Diceros bicornis minor: one gene and its partner. The protein of the gene in region 1 interacts with the protein of each later gene in a pairwise test. Links are inferred from orthologs where the notes say so. Each region holds a gene or a part of one and is shown in the gene's direction. Other genes may lie near its edges.

Region 1 (10,357 bases):
GGAGGGACCCACGGGTCAGCTGACTACAGGGTTGTGGAGGTGCCAGGTTGGGATAGTTCCGGCAGGAGAACTCAGTTGTTATGTAGTTCAAAAGGAAGCTCTGCTCTTAAATTCCTCTCTGAGGCCTGGTTGGTATGCTGGAAGCTGGTAAATGGTGCACACGGGAGGGTCTGGGCCCAGGGAGGTGGGGCAGGCCACTCCTGGCCCAGCGGAGGCTCCTCGGGACTTGGCACCTGCCCAGGTGGGCCTCTCTCCATTCCCACCTGCCCGCCTCTGCTGGCAGCCACCCACTCTGGCAGAAAGCTCCAAGTCCACATGTATGCCTCGCCCTCATTTACTTTTGGAAAAGGCAAATAGTGATGGACTTTGGACACTAGTTAACCAGACTTTTCTGGAAAAGGCTTGCTTGGGACTCTAACAGCAGGATGATCCTTGCCCTTTAGATATTTGAGAACCATCACCCTGTGCAAATAGGATGAAAGCCGTGGACCCCTGCTCCAGGAAAGTGCCTGTAAACAACTCTTCCGTATGTGTTTTCAGGGATTTAAGGGCGGCCCTCCCTCAGACCCCAGGCCCTCGGAGACCTTGGTTTGCGGGGATGCTGGGGGACCTGGTTTTGCTCTGGTTCTTCCGCGGGGAAGCTGCTCTGAGAGCTTGCCATTAGGGGTAGGTATTGGAAGAGGCATTTGAGCTTATTTAGTTCAAACCCTTCACTTTGCTGGTGAAATGGCTGAGGACTGAAAAGGCCAGAATTGACCAAAGTCACACAGCTAGTTACACAGGTAAAGGCTGCCCTAGGTGGCAACTATTCTCACTGCTGTTCGGGAGCCTGTGGAGGGACCAGGTAAACTTCTGTCTCCTAAATGACCCCGTTAGAGGCAGCTGTATATATATGGAGTATAAAAAAGGGATACAGTTTGCCCACAAGGCATCGATAAGTGAGGGTTTTTCCTAACTGAAGGTTTCCTCTGACAACTTTTAACTTTTGTTTTTGATTTAAAAGTTATTACTATTGAGAAATAAATCTAAATTACAATGTGGTATAAAGCAGCAGAAGAAATGTCCCATTATCCCAACTCCCAGATAATCTCTGAAACCTTGAAACTGCTGGACTGATTCACACATACATGTGCGCGCACACACACACACACACAGAACATTACTGAGATCAATTGTCTATGTAACATTATAGTTTGATTTTTTCATTTAAAATTGTGGTATAAGCAAACCATATTATGAAGAGCCCTTTGGAAAGAGCAATTTTGATAAGAGCATAATCTACTCAACATTCGGCCAATAATAATTGAGTGCCTATATGTGTCTCAAAGTGTTGAAGGTATAGGGAATTCAGAGGTGAGCAAATCACCCAGGCTTTGGATTCACGGAACTCACTTTCTGGGGGGATTTTGGGGTGGGGCAAAACAAAAAGACAGATATGAATACTAAAACTACTTTCGGAGAATGATAAGTACTTTATGGAAAATGAAGTAAGTAACTGTTGAGTTCAGATGTGCTTTACTTTTGTTATCTCTGAGGATGTCACATGTGAGCTGAGACCTGAATAATGGCAAAGATCCAGCCATATGAAGATCTGGGGGAAGAGTGTTATTCTTATTCAGCTAAAGGGACCAGCAAGTTCAAAGGTCCCAAGGCAGAAACTATCTTAGCAAGTTTAGGAACAGATGGAAGGCTTTGTCTTCTTTTTCTCTAGGGTTGGGGACAAGGCCTTCTATGCAGGCCCCTCAGGTTTCAAAAAACGGTGTCAGTCACCTCCCTGCTTAAAGGATGGAGCATACAGCCAGGCACTTGACCGGCTGCACAGACTGATGTCTGCCCTTCTGAGTCCTGTCTTGGACCCAGGGCTGGTGAGGCTGTCTCCAGGCTCTGGACCACTTCTCCTCCCACCTGGTACCTGCCTCCCCAACCCTTCCCGCAGGCTGACCCACATCCTGGGCTCTTCGCAGATGTGGAGCTCAGGGTTGGGCTAGGCTGGCCCTCCAGGCCTTTGTCTTGGGGAATGTTTGCCTCTCAGGCAGGGGAGACAGGGCCTGGAGACATCTGGCTTTGCGGCGCTCTCTCTCCTGGGGTGTCAAGACCATGGGTATCTCATTCATTCATTTATTCAGAACCTGCTTATTTCAAAAGCATCTCCTGCCAGCCTTTTGTGTTTCAAACTCTTTCTTTGCTGCAATTTTCTATAGTTATTTAATCAATTTTCTTTTTTTCATGAATGACTTTTTTTATGTTCTGTGCCTTTTCCTCTCATCCTTTCATGACTCTGAGGCACTCAAGGGTTATTCAGGCTACAGGGCCCCCCATCCAGCTTGTGCCCAGAACTGGAGGCTCCGGGCTGGCCTCTGCACTCCCCACCCCCGTGTCCTGATTCCAGGTTTCTTTCTTGGAGTCGGGACTCCTCAGCTGCATCTTCTCTGCCCTGCTTTCCCAGGGCCCAGACCGCCCTCCTGCTCTTTTGTGTGGAGGGATGGACTTGCCTAGGGGCAGTGTTGTGGCCTCAGGAGGACACAGTGGATGGCCAGGAGAACACTCCCCAGAGGCTGTGACCTCCAGGGACAAGTGTCCACTCCACGGCCACCTTCCCCCAGACAGGCCCTCAGTGGGGTAGGGCAGCTACGCTCCCTTGTTCCAGATCCTCTCAGACCCTCTCTCATGGCCCTGTGGTCCTCAGGAGAATAGCAAGACCTGTGCCCTCAGGCTTCCAAAGGGTCTCCTCGGCCTAGATGACCCCTCTGCTCTCCACAGTCTGTGAGAGAAATCAGAATTAGGCTTCCCCCTCGTGTGGCACTGGATGAGGTCCTCAGTGGAACCTCAGTGGCCAGAGGGCTCTCCACTGCCACACCTACCTTCCCTACCGCTCTGGTCTCTGGTTGACCGCTCACAGAAAAGCAGGTTGCCCCTACAGCCCTGGGCCCAGAGAAGGATTCTGCCTGGCATGAACTTTCCGGGGAGGGAGCTGGGGAGTGTCTGTCAAGAAGGCAGGGCACTTGGAGTCAGAGGCCTGAGTCTCCCCTCCATCCCCGCTCAGGCTGACCACAGTCATTTTCAGAGCTCAGAGGTGGCTGCTCCTCACAGGAGCTTCTGGGGTCTCAGCTTGGCCATGGGGAGCAGGTCAGGGAAGATGTCTTGGTGGGACACTCCAGCTCTCAGACACCACAGCATCTTCTGCATCTGGTGCAGCCCCCAGGGGCTCTACCTGGCCATCCTGTGAGAATGACATCCTACCCTCTCTTTCCTTAACACCTGGAGGGCAGGGAGCTCGTGTATCTTTGTCTCAGGGCTTCATCATTTCAGATCTTCGGGCCAGCCTTTGTGAACTAAGGGCCCAGCCATGAAGAAGTATGCAGTCTCACTATGTCTCCCCTTTTAAAAGCCCCTTGGGGGCCTGAAGTGGGGATGGGGTGGTGGGTGGGGAAGGAGAAGGAAGGGAGCTGACACCGTTCTCCATGTGAATGTGAAGTATTAGTTTGTGTGGGTGAGGATGTTCAGAAATGATAAGGCAGCTGGGAAACTATTTTAATCTTCTTTATGGGGTTTGATGAACTGTTTGAATTAATATTTGTTCTTGGGAAGCCAGATACACATGTGATAAAGATAAGTGTGTGGACAATCAGGAGAATAACAGGAACCTGGGAGCCCAGGAAGGAGACCAATTCACAGTGTCCATCACCCTGGATTGTTCTAAGGGACCCAGGTGCTGAATGCCACAGTGGACTGTCCTGCCAAGGCCTTGGGGTGTGAGACTGGACTGGAGAACCCAGACTCTGGGAAATGTAGTGCTGAGAGAAAGGGAGTGGATGGGAAGACACAAAAGCTTCCATGGGTAGAGGGTGGGGTTTCCAGAAAGTCAGGGAGATTTGACAAGGCAGGGGTCAGAGGATGGAGGTGCTCTGGCCAAGGAGGTAGATCTGGAAGCCGGGGAGCAGGGTTAACAACTGAAGGCTACCCGGGGGGGACTCCCTCGAAGGGTGCAATTTGCTGGGGGCTTTTTTCCCCATTGATCACGGCATAGTTGTATACAGTGAGTGTTGTCAAATTCCTTCCCTCGTGGGTTGTCACTCTCTTAGGCTTCTCTCAACCTCTCAGTAAAGTTGCCTACAGCCAGCCCACCTGCGTGGTAAATCGTGGAAAGAAGCGAGGTTGACACTGCTGGAGGGAGGTGAGCCTTGGCGGTTCACCTGGCCTCTGTCTAGGTGACCGACGCTTACATCATCCCGCATAAAGTTAGCAACAATGAGAGTGATGTTCCCAGGAGCAGTGGACAGCAGTGGACGGTGTGAATGTTGCTTACTAGAAGGTACATGGTTCCGCATGAAATCTGCAGCACCTAGACAGTACTCAGCACATAGCAGTCATTCCATAAATGCCAGAATGATACTTTATGGGCTATCTTCACCAAGTACATATGAATATCCAACAAGTATACAAAAAGATGCTCAAAATCACTAATCACTAGAGAAATGCAAATTAAAACCATAATAAAATACCATTATACACCCACTAGAATGACTGAAGTTAAAAAGACTGACATATCAAATGTTGGCAGGGATATGGAGAAACTGGAAATCCCATATGTTGCTGGTGGGAATGAAAAATGGTGTAGCCACTTTGAAAACAGTATGGTAATATCTTGTAAAGTTAAACATATTCTTACCATACAACCCAGTAATTCCAGTCCTAGATATTTACCCGAGAGAAATGAACACTTATGTTCACACAAAGACTTAGATGTGAATGGTCTTAGTAGTGTTATTCGTAAATAATCAAAAAGTGAAAGCAAACGAAATGTCCATCAACTGGTAAATGGATAAACAAATTGTATTATGGAATACTACTCAGCCACAAAAAGGAATGACATATCAATAGATGTAGCAACACAGATGAATCTCAAAAATATTATAAGACAAAGAATTAAACAAAAAATGTATGTACTGTATGATTCTATTTACATGAAACTCTAGAAAAGGTAAAATTATAATGACAGAAACCAGATTTGCCTAGGGCTGGGGGCAGGGGAGGAGGAGATGGATTGTAGATGAACAGGAGGAAATATTTTAGGGTGTGCAGGAACTGCTCTATATCTTGATCATGGTGGTGGCAACATAATTGTATATAATTATCAAACTGCATCAACTTTCACACCTAAAATGGGTGAATTTTATTGTATGTAAATAATAATCAAATACAATTTTTTTTTTTTTTTTTGGTGAGGGAGATTGACCTTGAGCTAACATCTGTTGCCAATCTTCCTCTCTTTTCTTGAGGAAGCTTGGCCCTGAGCTAACATCTGTGCCAATATTTCCTCTATTTTGTATATGGGTCACGGCCACAGCACGGCTTGATGAGTGGTGTAGGTCCTTGACAGGGATCTGAACCCGCGAACCCAGGCCGCCGAAGTGGAGGGTGCCGAACTTAGCTACTATGCCACTGGGCTGGCCCCTACATACAAATTTGAGCAAAAAACCCCAAAAAAACCCCACATACATCATGGACAAATTTATGAAAACCAATGATAAAAAGAAAATCTTGAAGGCAGTCAGAGACACAACAGACAGAACAAAGATAAGAACCACAGGGGACTTCTCTTCAGAAACTATATATTCCAGCAGCCAATGGAGTAAAACCTTTAAAGTACTGAAAGAAACAAAAATGTCAACCCAGAATTCTATAGTCAGTGAAACTATCTTTCAAATGTGAAGGTGCAATAAAGACTTTCAGACAAAGAGTGACAGCATCCATTGCCAGCTGACCTGTGCTAAAAGAAATGGTAAAGGAAGTTCTTCAGACAGGAGAAGCATGATCCCAGGTGGAAATCTGGATGTACACAAAGAATGAAGAGCACTGAAAATAGCAAAAATGAATGTAAAGTTATGAAGATATCCATCAGAAGAACTAAAGACAGGCCACAAAGCTTCCAGATTGCTAGAAGGACCTGCAGAGAGCCTGGGCATGGCGGATGGAAGACGGTGGGACGGAACCACACACACCTGGTAGAACAGCAGGGCGTGGCTTCGTCCCGGTTACAAAGCGCTGGCACGTCATTTGGCAGTTAGGGAGGCAGGCTGGCACATTATTATCCTACCTTCATAGGAACAGAAACGAAATCTCAGAGACCAAGAGTTACTTGCCCAAGAAGCCATAGTAAGTAACAGACAGGATAGGGCATTTTCTAACCCGTGTCTTTTGAGACAACTTAGTTCAGTCCCCTTGAAACCTGTGAAAGGAGCAACACAAATCTTGGAAGTCTGGAAGCGCGGTCACCTGTACCTCGGGGCGATTCCTGAGGCTGTCGTGAGGGCCCAGAGAGAAGGCGGGCGCTGTCCCCGCACCGGGAGGCTGAGGCCGTCCTCCCGCAGACCCGACCCAGCGTGCGCGCGCAGCCGGCGGGTGGTGGGCGGGGCGCCGGGAGCGTCCGTTTCTAGGGCCGCGCCGCCCTGGCGACCGAGCGCCGCGGCCCCGCGCACGCGCCTTGGCGGACTCCGGTGCACTGTGGGATGGAAACCCCAGCGGCTCGTCGAGGCTGGAGCGGGCGGCGGCGGCGGTGCTGCAGGCGGCCGGGCAGTGGGGCTTAGGCTCGGCGGGCCGGCAGGGCGCGGGCGCCGCCGCCATGAACGCGGCGGTGGTGAAGCGGACGCAGGAGGCGCTGGGGAAGGTGATCCGGAGGCCGCCGCTGACGGAGAAGCTGCTGTGCAAGCCCCCGTTCCGCTACCTGCACGACATCATCACGGAGGTGGGCGCCTGACCGGGGCCTGGGTGCGGGCCAGGGCTCAGGACCCACGGTGGGGGTCGGGGCCGGGATGCGGGTCGGGGTCGCGGCCGGAGTGCGAGTCAGGGCCGGTGTGCGGGTCGGGGCTCAGCACCCACGGCGGGGGTCGGGGCCGGGGTGCGAGTCCGGGGTCAGGGTCGGGGTGCGGGCTGGGGATCGGGGCCCACGGCGGGGGTCAGGGGTTCGCCCGGGTGGCGGGCTGGGGGTCAGGGCCCCGGTCCAAGTCGGGGTTGGGGGTCGGGGTCCGGCCTCGCGTCGCTGTGCGCGGCGCCTGCCCGAGGAGCCCGGCCTTTGGCCTGGCCTGCAGCCGGGAGGGGCGACCACTGGGCCCAATTCCGCAGTACCTCTGCGCGGAGTTCCTCGCGCTCATCCCTGCTCTCCTGTTCTCACCCATCCCCCAGGGCTGCCTCTTCCGGGGAGACTCCCAGCTCCTCAGGGAGCATTAATTCTTTCCAGCCTACCCGTGTATCTGTTAGAGCACATTTTCCATTTTCCCTGGCAGAGTTGTTTCTGTGATTTTTTTTTCCTGCAGTGCCTAGCACGTGGAAGGTGCTCAGAAATCCTGGGAGAATGAAATTATTCTTCTTTATACCGCCCCCCCCCCTTCCCCGGTCAAGTTTCCCACTGCACTGCAGAGCACAGTGGTCACCACATGTTGGATACTTAATAAATACCTGTGGGTGAATTTACTGAAGGTGGTTGTAGGGGGTCCCGAAAGGAAAAACTATAAAAGAGCAGGTTAGTGTTTGCTGGTAAATGGCACAGCCTGCCCTGAGTGGTGTTTGGTTGTCTGTAACTTTTCCCCACTGGATGGTGAATTTCTGAATGATGGAGACTGTAACTTCTTTGTTGGCATATCCTGGGTGAGCTGCACTGGGTACGGTACACAGAAGGTGCACAACAAACATTCATTGTTGAATGGACTCTGTCAAGGCTCCTGGTAACCCAGGGTGGCATCGCCCATTTCCATGGTGCACCTGGGGGGGCCGTGTTGAACCTGGGAACTCAGGCATGCTCTTTGGGAATTAGGAATCACGTTGAACTTGCAGGCTTCGGGGGGCTGCTATCTCACCCTGTGTTGGTCCTCAAACTTTATTTCTCACTCTTCTCAACAGGTTGGGCATCTTACTCTTCCACAAACTTTTCTTTGCTTGTTTCTGCCATCTTAATTTAGCTTATAATGTGTGCCTCTGTGCTGAAAACCCTAATTGTGCTTAAAATTCTCTGGAATCCCATCCACATCCCAAGGGTCGTCTTGACTGGCCGCTGCCTCCTTGTGCAGCTAGTGCAGCACTTACACCTGTCCTGGACAGTGTCTGGGGAAGGGACAGGGCTGTGTGCTGCATCGCCTCCACCCTGTGAAGTAGCGTCCTCCAGCCCAGGAGGGAACAAGTCAGTCAGCCTGGCTGACTGCGGCAATTGCTGCCACAGCCTCACACTTTTCTGTGTTAGTCCTGTCTCCCCGCTGAAACAGAGCCAGGGAGGAGGCGGGGGGACGTGCCTCATCCTGTGGGTCTTGGTGTGGGGCTGGGCTCACGGTGGCTGCTGTCCCCACCTCCTGGAAGGTCGGAGGGCATCTTAATGGAGGAGGAGGAGGAACATGCAAGCAGGAATTGGTGTGATTGGCCAGGTAGCCAGGCTGTGTGGAAGGAGTGAAGCGTTCCCTATCAGGAGCCACTCACCTGCTTTTCTTTCACAGATTTTTCCTAATCTAATGCCGAAATGAATTTCTCTACCGGTGTAAAGATAAATATGTTAATTGTCACCCACTTGATAAAGATATTAGGATGATTGAAATATTGGAAAGGATTTTTAGATAATAGGGGAAGAACCTCTATGAAAATTCTTTACTGCCCCTGAGCATTATAGTCAAGTCACCATATTAGTATTTTAGCTACAGTTAAACTAATTCTGCCTCTTTTATAAATCCAAGTGTTGATCTTGTGACATTAATGTCTCATCACTTAAAATTATTGCTCACAATTTTAATTGCAAGCAAACTGGGAAAACCTCAAAAGAGACAAAATGAAAAAGTTCCAAGAATGTTAAGTGCAGGATACTCGTAATATTCCACCTGTCTTATCAGGAAAAATAATGGCACAGCTCTTAAGTAGTTTGATGAGGAATGAAAGCTGACTTAATTAATAGCTAGCTGTAGCTTGGTGTCAGAGAAGGAGCCTGATATTAGCAGAGGGACTGTCTTCTTTTTTTTTGAACATGCAGTAATAAATATGCTCTGTATCCACCCAGGACATATTCACCCATAGACATATTCATCCTTACCACATACAATACATTCTAATATTTTCTTTTCTGTTTCATTTTTTTAAAATGCTTATTGCTACCCATTATGTTGATTTTACAGTGATCTACCACATTTTGAAAAACTGTGTCTGAGGGAACCCAGGGCCCTGGCTGTGTGTAGGGGTGGGGAGGAACAGAGAAAATCACCACCCAAGAGCTCGTTTTAGGGGTATTTGGGAGGTACAGGTTGACTAGGGGAGAGAACAAAAGTGATACGGCAGAGAGCACCCCTGTGTCCTAGGAAGTGAGCAGCACAGTGGTGAGGAAGACCTTTCCGTCCACTGTCAGAAACCCAGGCTGAGAAGTTCCTTTTTTTTCCAAGATCCATTCTCTCCACCAAGCCTGGGTGACCCTTGTAAGATGCCATTCCCTGCTTTTGAACCTCTCACGGCCTCCTCTTGTTCCCAAGACTAAGTCCGCATTCCTGAATGGCTTGGAAGGCCATCCAGGCCAGGCCCCTGCCTGACTCTGGCCTCAGGCTCCTCCCATCCCAACTTCCTTTGATCCTGAGAACAGGACCCTCTTGGCTCTGGACCTTGCGGGGACTCTTTGTTATCCTGGCACACGCTTCCTGAATACTCCCTCCCCCGACTTTTCTCCTGTCAGCCTCTGCTCACTTTAGACAGGATTTCTTCTGGGAAGTGTTCCCTGACGCCCCTCGCCCCTCCCGCATTTGGATTAGGTTCTGAGCGGGGCTCCCTTAGCACCCTGCAAGTCTTTGTAATGTTGGCCTGTCCCCACAGCCAGGTGGGCTTCTGCCTGGTACAAGGCTTCCACATGGTAGACACTCACGTGTTTGTGGAGTGAGTGAATGAATTAGATTCTGGGTGCAGACAGATTCTGACAGCCCCTGAGCCTGGGGTTCGGTGGATGAGGCTGCTGAGGAGGCTGTCCCGTGAGGTGCTGACCATGGCCTTGCTTTATCTTTTGAAGGTGATTAGGATGACTGGTTTCATGAAAGGCCTCTACACGGACACTGAGATGAAGTCTGATAATGTTAAGGTAGGTTTGGGGGAGGTTCCACCCCCTCGCCTTAATGAATGGGGGTTTTTATAAGCTGTATCTGTGGCGTGTGTCATTTATATGCTGATAGATGGTAAGAAGACAAGGTGGATTAAGTCGTGAACTGCTGTATACCCGTTCTTATTTCGTTTTCTAATTTTGGGCAACTACGTATCACGCTAATTTTACCCATTGAGAAATGGAATTAGTGTCTCTGAGGTTAGTGCTAGCCCATGAACTAAGATTAAAAGCTTTAATGAATTATTTTCC
Region 2 (9,553 bases), on another chromosome or scaffold:
CCCCAGCTATGTGCCAATAGCTTAAGGAAAATATGCATATTTTTAAACAGCAAAAGGGCATCCAAACTGTGTCCTTTGGGGTCTCTCTTTGCCAAGGAGCCTGGCGGACTGGCCCAGACCCCAGCAGGTCCTCACTCTGTGGACCTCGGTTTTCTGTTTGTGGACTGGACACACGCAGATGTGCCCTCCTCGCTGGCACACGGTCATTGTGGGCCTTCATTAGGTGACGCTTCACCCCCCATGCGTGCCTGTCCCTCATGAGAAGCACAGGGTTTTAGGCAGGAGGATGCTTTCACGTCATGTTGAGAGCCGTGAACCCTGGGGCCGTGGAGGTCAGCCTTCTTGTCTCACGTGCGCAGGTGGACTTGCGCAGGAGGGGGCTGGCGTGAGGACAGACACCAGGCCAGTTTGACACGTCACAACAGGTGCCCCGGCATTGCAGGCCTGAGCCAGGAACCGCGCAGGGAGGGCCGGTCTCATGGCCTTCCACAGGCTCTGACGAGGGCCTAGGAACGCGCGGGCAGAAATGTCTCTGGGGGGCCCCTGTGCACCGTGGAATTGTGCAGGTGGCGGGGTGTCTGTGGCCACGCGGATCACGCTCCTCCCGGGCCTGTGAGAGTTCACAGGGGCCGTGTGCTGAGGTCTGAATGTTCATGCCCCTGCCCTTCGTGTGATGAAACCCTAACCCTCAAAGACAATGGCATTGGGAGGGGGGCCCTTGGGAGCTGCCCCGCCCTCGTGAATGGGATTAGTGCCCTATAATGAGGCTCCAGAGAGGTCCCTCACCCTCCCTCCGGGTGAGGACACCACGAGAAGGCGCCAGCGATGAGCCAGGAAGCGGGCCCTCACCAGAACGCAATCACGCCGGCGCCTTCATCTCGGTCTTCCAGCCTCCAGAACTGTGAGCAATAAATATCTGTTGTTTATAAGCCACTGGTAGGTGATGTTTTGTTAGAGCAGCCTGAACGGACTGAGACACCATGACGTCTGGAAGGTAGATGTGGACCATTGTTTTGGACTTGGCCTGGGAACAGCTGGCCCCCCATAGGACCTTGGACAGGTCCTGTCATCTTCCTAAGCCTGAAACAACTCCTCTGTGGAGTGGAGCCCACGTGAGCACCACCCAGGGCGTCTGTGAGCAGTGAGTGACATCAGGCTCTTAGTCTGAGGGTGTCTGGGGTGCAGCCCTGCTCCATCGTCTTATGAGGGTTATTCAGAGTTGCGAACATAAGTGAGACTTGCTTCAGGGGGAGCCGTGTGAAAACTGGGATTTAAATTCCTCCTTAGGAGCACTTGGTGTTGGCTGCCACCAGGGATCCTTTAATCCAAACGCCTTCATTCTTCACCAGTCCGTAGACTGCTTTTGGAAATATCACGTAGTCTTCTAAATCAAATCATGACGTGTCAAAGCGGCCCGGTGTCTGTCCTCACTTGCGCGAGGCTTCTCAGATGGCCCTTCAGAAGCATTAAAAGCAGCGGTCTCTCCTACTGAACTGTAGACTCCAGACCTGCAGAGGGCTTTGGTTTGGGATTAGAGGAGTTGGAAGTGACTAACCCTGAACCTCCCAGCTGGTTATAGCAGCAGGGGCGCAGGCTGGAGTGACAACATGGGTGTAGATTACAGCAGCAGGGTTCCCACAGGTTACAGCAGCAAGGGTGCAGGTCAGAGCAGCACAGGTACAGGTTACAGTAGCACAGGTGCAGGCTAGAGCAGCAGGGGTCCCACAGGTTACAGCATCACAGGTGCAGGTTACAGCAGCAAGGGTGCAGGGTACAGCAGCACAGGTGCAGGCTAGAGCAGCAGGGGTGCAGGTGAGAGCAGCTCGGGCGCAGGCTCCCGGGTGGATGGGGAGCAGGGCCGTATCCACTGCACAGCCCTGTCCTGTCCACACGCTCCATCTGGGAGGGAGCAGCAAGGACAACGAGTCTATTCAGTTCTCTATAAACACAGACAAGAAATGAAGAGATGAGGACTAGGATTTAAAGGCAGCGGGTTGGGTGTGAGTCAGCTTTTCCTCCCATCACTCTCGATGCTTTGACCTCCCGGGGTCAGCTGAGCTCCCAGGGAACCGGAGGAACTCCAGGGCGCAGTCCACATTTGGCAAGCCTAGTGTGAGTAACCCAAAGCTGTATTTTTAAAAGGCTGCTTCTCAGCCATGCCCTTAGGGATGCCAGGATCCCTCTCTAGCTCCCCAGTGCGCCTGCAGGCTCAGGAGAAACAGGGGAAGGGGGTTTCAAATCTCCAGGCCGGCGCTGACTGCCCGTCCCCTGGAGGGTCGGAGAGAGTCCCTGGCCGGTGGAAGGGAAGGCAGGTCATCAATCCCTGGGGCGCCTCGCCTCCAGCGGTTCTTTGCAGCAGCACTTGGCTTCATCGTGGCAAACTACCTGGATTTCATTCCCTCTGTCGAGAACCCAGCCAAGCTGGCACTCGTCAAATTTAGAGTCCCCGTTGCAAATCCTTGCGGGACATTACTGACGTGAAATCAAATCAGAAGTTCCTCAAAACAGGAGAGTTGTTTTTTTTTTTTTTATTCTTTGTGTCTGCCCACCTGGGGTGTCACCTTCCGAGAACTGGGCTCTGGCTGCAGGGAGTGGTTTCCGTGTCCAACCATACCTCCTCCACATTGTCCATCTGTATCACATTGTCCATCTGTATCACAGCATCTCTTGTGGATGGTCTTAACCAAAAGCAGCTCTTAGGAGAGGCAGCAGAGGTCTCTGGGGGCATCGGAGCCCAGCCCTGCCCCTCGTGTTCTCACCAGTCGCTCACCTGAGGGTTCTCTCTGAGCTTGTTTGGTGTTCTGCAAATCGGGGATGACAAGGACTGGCTCTCTTATTGGGCACCAAGCCAGCTCCTGCATTAACTCACTTAATCCTCACAACACCCCAGAGAGGAAGGTTACTGTTATTAAACCCATTTTACAGATGGGGAAACTGAGGCACAGATGGGCTAATCCCCTCGGTCAGGGTCTCAGTGCCAGTAAGTGGCACAGCCAGGGCTCACCCCCAAGCTGCGGCTCCAGAGTCCGCACAGGGAGTGACCATTCTGAGATGCCTCTCCCGCAATGGCGTCTACTGGGTTGGTTGTAGGGAAGTTCACGCAGGGTGCCCTGCAAGGGCCCAGGAATCTGCTACTCTCATCTCGGTGTTGCTTCTGTCCTGGGGTTTAGGGCACACCGTGTCCGTGCCTTGGTTTTGATGTGGAGTCTGCAGCACAGGGTACCCCACATCCTGTGCTGAGTAGGTGACAAATGCCTGCAGCTTCTGAGACGGCCGGCGTGCAAGTTTTGTGGACTGGATTGGGCTGGATTTGAAGTTGTTCCGACAAAATAAGTGGTCGTTGTCCTCCTGCCGTGGGAAGCGGGTGTGAGTGATTTTGGTGGCTCCACTTGTGGCCCTGAATCTGTGTCAAATCCTCGTTGAAAGAGAGAGGAGGCAGAGCCTGGGTGAGGGCTCCCAGCCCCGCAGGGGTGCCTTGTGCTCGTGGATCAGGGCTGCTGAGGCAGAGCCTGCAGTACCTGCTGGCACTGGGAGATGGCGTCCTGCCCCAACTGTTGGAATTCGCCGCCTGCGACCTAGGTGCTGCCACAGATCTGAGTATTCATCAGGAAAACAAATCCGAGGGGCCCCTTCAGCCGGTGGGTCTCACACCCAACACTCCGGCTGTCATTGAGTCCCTTCTACAAGAGGGTACAGAGCACAGAGAGAAGCCCTAGGAAGGTGGGGTCCATCTTAGGTGGACACCAGGAAGGCCGGCTCCTTCCTCCCAACCCCATCTTTCAATCCCCAACCAGGAAGGGAGATTAATTATTGCCCAGGCAGAAAAGAGCTTGGTGAGTGATCTGGACAATTCTTTCCTTCCCAATGGCTGAGAAGGCTCAATGGAGGCCTGGAGGATGTGTCTTTCATCTTGGGTCAGAAGGCTCCTGCACATTCTAAAGCCCTATTAAGGGGTTTGACGAGTCAGGCTGGCTTCTGAGGAGGCTTACACGTCGTGTCCTGGGCTGGGGGCTTGTGCCAGCCTGCCCTGCCCCTCTGCCTGGGCACCAGACTCCAGTCCCCCCACAGGGACACAGGAAGCAGTGAGGATACCCACTCCTGCCCCCAACCACAGACCCCAGGTCCCTGACCTGCCCCACCCACATCACACTCCTCATGGGTGGGGCCCCTTTAGCTCCCTGCCCCTGCCAGAGCCCCAAACCTGCACCCAGCTCCTCCACTGTGTGCACACTCCTGGGGCCCCTCCTGCGTGCACCCACCCCTCACACCCACACCCAGGAGCCCACACTGGTCGGTGTTGGCAGCTGCCAGGAGATTCCCTTCCTCCCAAAGGCCTTAGAGCACCTGGCTTCCCGGGGTCCTAGGAGGGTCTTTCCTCTTACACCCCTTTCCCCTCCCCCAGTGCTGGGGCTGGAGACCCCCATGAAGGGCTGCTTTCGGAGCCGGCCAGGAGCTCGCCCTCCCGGCTGGGTTTCAAGGGGCGGCCCAGGCTGGCAGGGAGTGCAGTAGGTCTCCAGCAGTCGGGGAGCACCGGGCCCTGGGAGGGGGTGTCTCAGAGGGGTGCCTGGGCCTCGCTCAGCTGTCGGCCGTAAGGGTGAGAGGGCAGCGGCCAATCCGTGCAGCTTAGGCAGCCGCCCTGCCGCGGGCGGACTTTTATGACTTGGGTGACGGTGGTCCGTCTCGGCTGCCGGGTCACCCTATCCCAACTCCTCGGCGACGGGGCTTTGCAGATCTCGCTGCCAGCAGCCAGGGGGCGGCGGGGAGCCAGAGCGGAGAGGAAAAATCCACCCATTTCCTGGGCGGATTGCGTCGGCCGCCGCCCGACCGTGTCCCCGCCTCCCGGCCACGGCCCCAGCGCGCAGCCCGCGCCGCGCTCAGAGGCAGAGCCGGGCGGCCCTTCCCGGCGGCAGAGCGCGGAGGGACGCGGAGGGACGCGGCGGCACCAGGCACCGGGCAGCGGCGGGGCGGGCAGCGGCCGCCGGCGGCCACTCTCCCTGGCGCCCGGAGGCGGCGTAGCCATGGCCCGGGCGCGCGGGGCGGCGGCGGCGGCGGGCGGGCGGTGGCGGGCCGAGGGGGCGCGGGGACACGGCCGGGCGCCCCTGCCCGCCGCGGTGCCCGCCGCCTGAAGGCTGCCTGGGGCGCGGAGCCGGCGTCGGCGCGGCGCGGGCGCAGGCGGCGACTCGAGGCGCGATGTCGGTGCCGCTTCTCAAGATCGGGGTTGTGCTGAGCACCATGGCCATGATCACCAACTGGATGTCCCAGACGCTGCCCTCGCTGGTGGGCCTCAACACCACCAAGCTCTCGGCGGCCAGCGGCGGGACGCTCGACCGCAGCACCGGCGTAAGTGCGCCCGCCGCCCGCCTTCTCGGGGCCCTTCTCCCGCTCCCTCCCCGACCTCCAACCCAGGGCTGGGCGGGCGCCGCGCGGGGCGCAGGGCGCAGGAGCAAGGGCGCGCGCAGGGGTCCCGAGGCGGCTCCTCCGCGCTGCGGGGTGACCCTGCTCCCCACGCCCCCAGCCCCGGCCACTCCTCCGGCTGCGGTTCCCCGGCGACGCTTCCTTCCTTTGCCTGGTCCCCTCGTGGGGCGAGGGGAGCCTGCTCAGGAGCTCGGAGGCTTGGAGTCCTCGTTCAACTAAGTCTCTCATTGATAAGGTTGGGAAGCTGAGGCGGGGGACTTGGGGATTTGTCCAAGGTCACTCTGCAAGTGAGGGGTGGAGACGCCGCCGCTCCATCCCGGGCTGGCTGGTCCAGCCAGGGCTCTGAACGGAGCCCGCCCTACTTTGTGAAAGCCGGACTGAACCCAGCCCGGAGTGGGGCCCGGCCGGGCGGCGGGCTTGGGAGCTGGTGCCCTCGCCTGCCTGCGCGTTCCAAAGTCCCGAGGCGCCTTTCCCTCCCCATCCCCGTACGGACGGAGGTCATTGGGGTCCCGTGGAGGAGAGTGCCGTGGGGCCCAGGACGGGGCCCCCGGGAGCCACTTGCAGCGGAGCTCGACCCCTTGCCTACCGTGCACCCCTCCCGCCCTGCCTCTCAAATCGTTTCTCCTTTCCTCTCGATGCCTTGGGGGAGGGGCGTGTGGCCCGGGTCGCTTCTGGGCAGGGCTAACTTAGATGGTGGCTGGAGCGGAGGCTGAGCCAGAGCCACCCGTGAGCGCCAGGCCGGGCTCACGGAGGAAGGGGCGCGCCCAGGCCCGGCTCCCTCTGAGCTGAAAGGAGAGGTGAAGGACACGAGTGTCCTCGCCCGCTCCCTTCTGGCTGCCAAGGGCGCAGTGCTCCGGCGGGAGGTCTCCGTGTGACCCCCTCCTAAGAGCGTTCTCACGTTCACCTCACCTGCTGTTTCGAGAATTGCATGCACCGTGTTTGCTTCATAATGTCTCTGTTCCTGCTTCTGGGCCCTGAGCTTCTGAGGTTGGCAATGAATGAAATGAAATGTAATGATACTATGGACTCTCCCACCAACTTCTCCCCGCCCTCGTGCTAAAAATAGCAGGGAGGTGACCTGAGGCAACTGGGCAGGCTGCAGTGGGGGAACAGTCTGTGTTCAGGGGGTGTTTTCCAACAGCAGTGTCTGCCCTGTGTACCTGGTGGTCAGGACTACCTGAGCTGGGCTGCAAGGCAAGGTGACACCAGCCATGTCACCATGTCACCAGCCATGTGCAGCTCTGGTTTCTTGGTGGTCCTTGGGCACACCTCAGGACTGAGGTTGGGTGTGACCCCTGCACAACATGTCACCAGCAACTCGGTGACATCCACCAAATGGCTTGTGGGTGGCAGCCTGTGCAGAGTGGGAAGCCCGGCGTTCTCTCGGGCAGTCTTCGCCAGGCTGCCAGCGGGAAGATTGCTGGGGCTCAGGGTCGTTGCAGCTCTGGGCTAATAGGCTGCTGGATCCCAGCTATTAGGGCCCGTGCTTCATCTCCCAGCGTCAGGGAGCTGCAGAGTGAGGCTGCGCCGGCCACCCCTGCCTGCCTTACGGGAGGAGATCTTATTTCTGAATTACGTGCCCACTGTGAGTCAGCCAGCCTCTTGCTTCCCTGCCTCTGGTCACCCCTCCCTTCTACTTAATGGATCAATTTGGTCAGATACCAAAACTCCAAACATTCCTTAAATTTAAAAACCCCTTGAATTTAAAAAAAAAAAATGTAAAGAGTTGTGACGGTTTGACTCCTTTCCAGTCCTGGGGATCCTGACGGGAGACTGTCTCTGTTCCTGGGGTCCCCTTTCCCTCTTCGTGGTCAGAACGTGTCTTTGGACCATTGCTTTCTGCCTTTTCCCCCGGGGGGTCGGATGTGGACGATGCCCCCTGGTTTTGTCCCTGGTACACTACCTTACGGTCTCCCTTTCTCTCCCTCCCTCTCCCTCCGCCCAGGTGTTGCCCACCAACCCTGAGGAGAGCTGGCAGGTGTACAGCTCTGCCCAGGACAGCGAGGGCAGGTGTATCTGCACAGTGGTTGCTCCCCAGCAGACCATGTGTTCACGAGATGCCCGCACGAAACAGCTGAGGCAGCTCCTGGAGAAGGTGAGTCTGTGCAGGGTGTGTGTGCGTGTGGGTGTACTTGTATGTGCATGTGTGTGCCCACGCGAGCGCCAAGGCTTGGCTAGCCTGCGGGTCATCTCAGCTCCAAGGCCTCACTCTTTCCCGGCATGTCCTCACTCGGAATATTTGTAAATGAAGGAATGAATGGATGGATGGATAGGAGAGAGGCATAGACCCTCCCGGTCACTGCAGGCTCCACTGAGGAGCCAGTGGTGGTGGGGAGAGGGGTGTGGGGCCCCTCTCCCGCGACTGTCTCTCCAAGTAGCGCCTGTGATCTGTCATCCCGAGGGCTCAGAGCTGTCCCTGAGCAGCTGCCTGGGAGGACGCCCTGGGAGCCGGAAATGCTCGGCCACTGGGATTTTGCCTGATGGGGTCTGTCCCCCGCCTTTGAGCAGCTGTTCACTACTGTGGATGCCTCCCTGGTACAAAAGCAGATTCAGTTGTTACCTTGTAGCCCACCTGGGAACAGAAGTTGTGTCTACATTTTGAATCCAGTATTTCACTTAATCTTCACAAGAACCACATGGGGTTGGTGAGATTTTTCACCATTTCGAGAAGTGGAAATCTGGGTCCAGAGGTGGACTGACTTGTCCCAAGCCAGAAAGCTGGTCGGCAGGGAGCAGCACTCAAACCTGGTGGCCGCCTTCCCACCTGGCCTGGCGTTCTCGGCCCTCACAGAGGCTGCCACTCCTGATGGGGCAGCCGACTCACCTCCTGGCACATTCCGCACCAGGAAGCCTGGATTCTCCAATGACTTGGGCATCAGGGCCCCTGGGAGTTACCGGGGGGAGGAAGGAGATAGGGGCGGCCCTTCTGGTCCATTCATCACCCTCCCCCCGGAGGAAGGGCATTTTTTTTTTTTTTATTGATGTTTTAATGGTTTCTAACATTGTGAAATTTTGGGTTGTACATTTTTGTTTGTCCATCACCACATATATGACTCAGGAAGGGCGTTTTATATGGGGACACTTCACCCCGGAAAGTGGGCTCACACCACACACACACACACACACACAGACACCACACACACAGACACCACACACATGCAATCCACACACAGACACCACACACACACAATCCACACACAGACACCATACACAAATCACATACACATGTGTACCACATACACTACACGCAGATACTCACATACACACACACAGGCACCACACACAAATACATACACACCACACACACACACACCACACAAATACACAAAAACACACACCACGTATATTCCACACACACACAGACACACACGTATGCCACACACACCACACAAATACACATACACACACCACATATACACCACACACACCGGCTACACACACAGACACACATATACACTACGCACAGACACCACACACATACTACACACAAATACACAAATACACACCACACACGCACACCACACATACACACCACATATATACCACACACACACACACATAGATCACACACATACACACCACATATGCACCACACACAAACACATGCACACACACTCCACACACACATACTCACAAACACACACATACCCCAGTAAGCCGTGACTCTCCCCTCAGTGGAGGAGTAGGAGAGGAGGCATGTGTGGGGCAGGGCCCCGTGCTGTGAGGACGGCCACTCCAGTGCTGCCCTCCACGCTGGGGACAGGATTCTTTGAGCCCAGCTTGACTAAAACCCTCCCACTACTGTGGGCAAAGCAGGTCCCTCTCCTGGACCCCGTTTCCCGAACTGTCAGGGGAGAGGTGGGTAAGGAGTCCTGGGGTCCTCCCAGCCCTGCCCGTCTGGAACGGACCGTGCAGGGAGCCTTCTTCCTTGGGAAGAAGGGCCTGGGGGAGCACGGAGCAGTGGCCTGGTCCCAGAGCTTGCTCCCCCTAAGGGGACAGAGTGTGCCCTCTCTGGCCATTGTTAGCCACCCCAGGAAATCGTTTAAAAAGAATTAAAGTCAATTGCATTTAATAGATCCCACAAACATTTATCAACACCAAACTAGACCAGAGCTTTATTGGGCCTTTAATTATTCAG

Evidence for each region. The genes of interacting proteins can lie anywhere in the genome.
Region 2: the proteins of TRAF3IP1 (region 1) and OLFM1 interact in a two-hybrid assay, tested with the Homo sapiens proteins (2 studies listed by BioGRID and IntAct). The link is inferred for Diceros bicornis minor from reciprocal best matches to the Homo sapiens genes TRAF3IP1 and OLFM1.

Annotation. Positions count from the first base shown.
Region 1 is NC_080776.1:25,699,118-25,709,474, forward strand, and holds the start of TRAF3IP1 (TRAF3-interacting protein 1), read left to right. Parts: upstream 1-6,543; 5' UTR 6,544-6,622; coding exon 6,623-6,745; intron 6,746-10,018; coding exon 10,019-10,087; intron 10,088-10,357.
Region 2 is NC_080767.1:41,778,364-41,787,916, forward strand, and holds the start of OLFM1 (noelin), read left to right. Parts: upstream 1-4,891; 5' UTR 4,892-5,190; coding exon 5,191-5,340; intron 5,341-7,360; coding exon 7,361-7,510; intron 7,511-9,553. UniProt on the Homo sapiens protein: Contributes to the regulation of axonal growth in the embryonic and adult central nervous system by inhibiting interactions between RTN4R and LINGO1. Inhibits RTN4R-mediated axon growth cone collapse.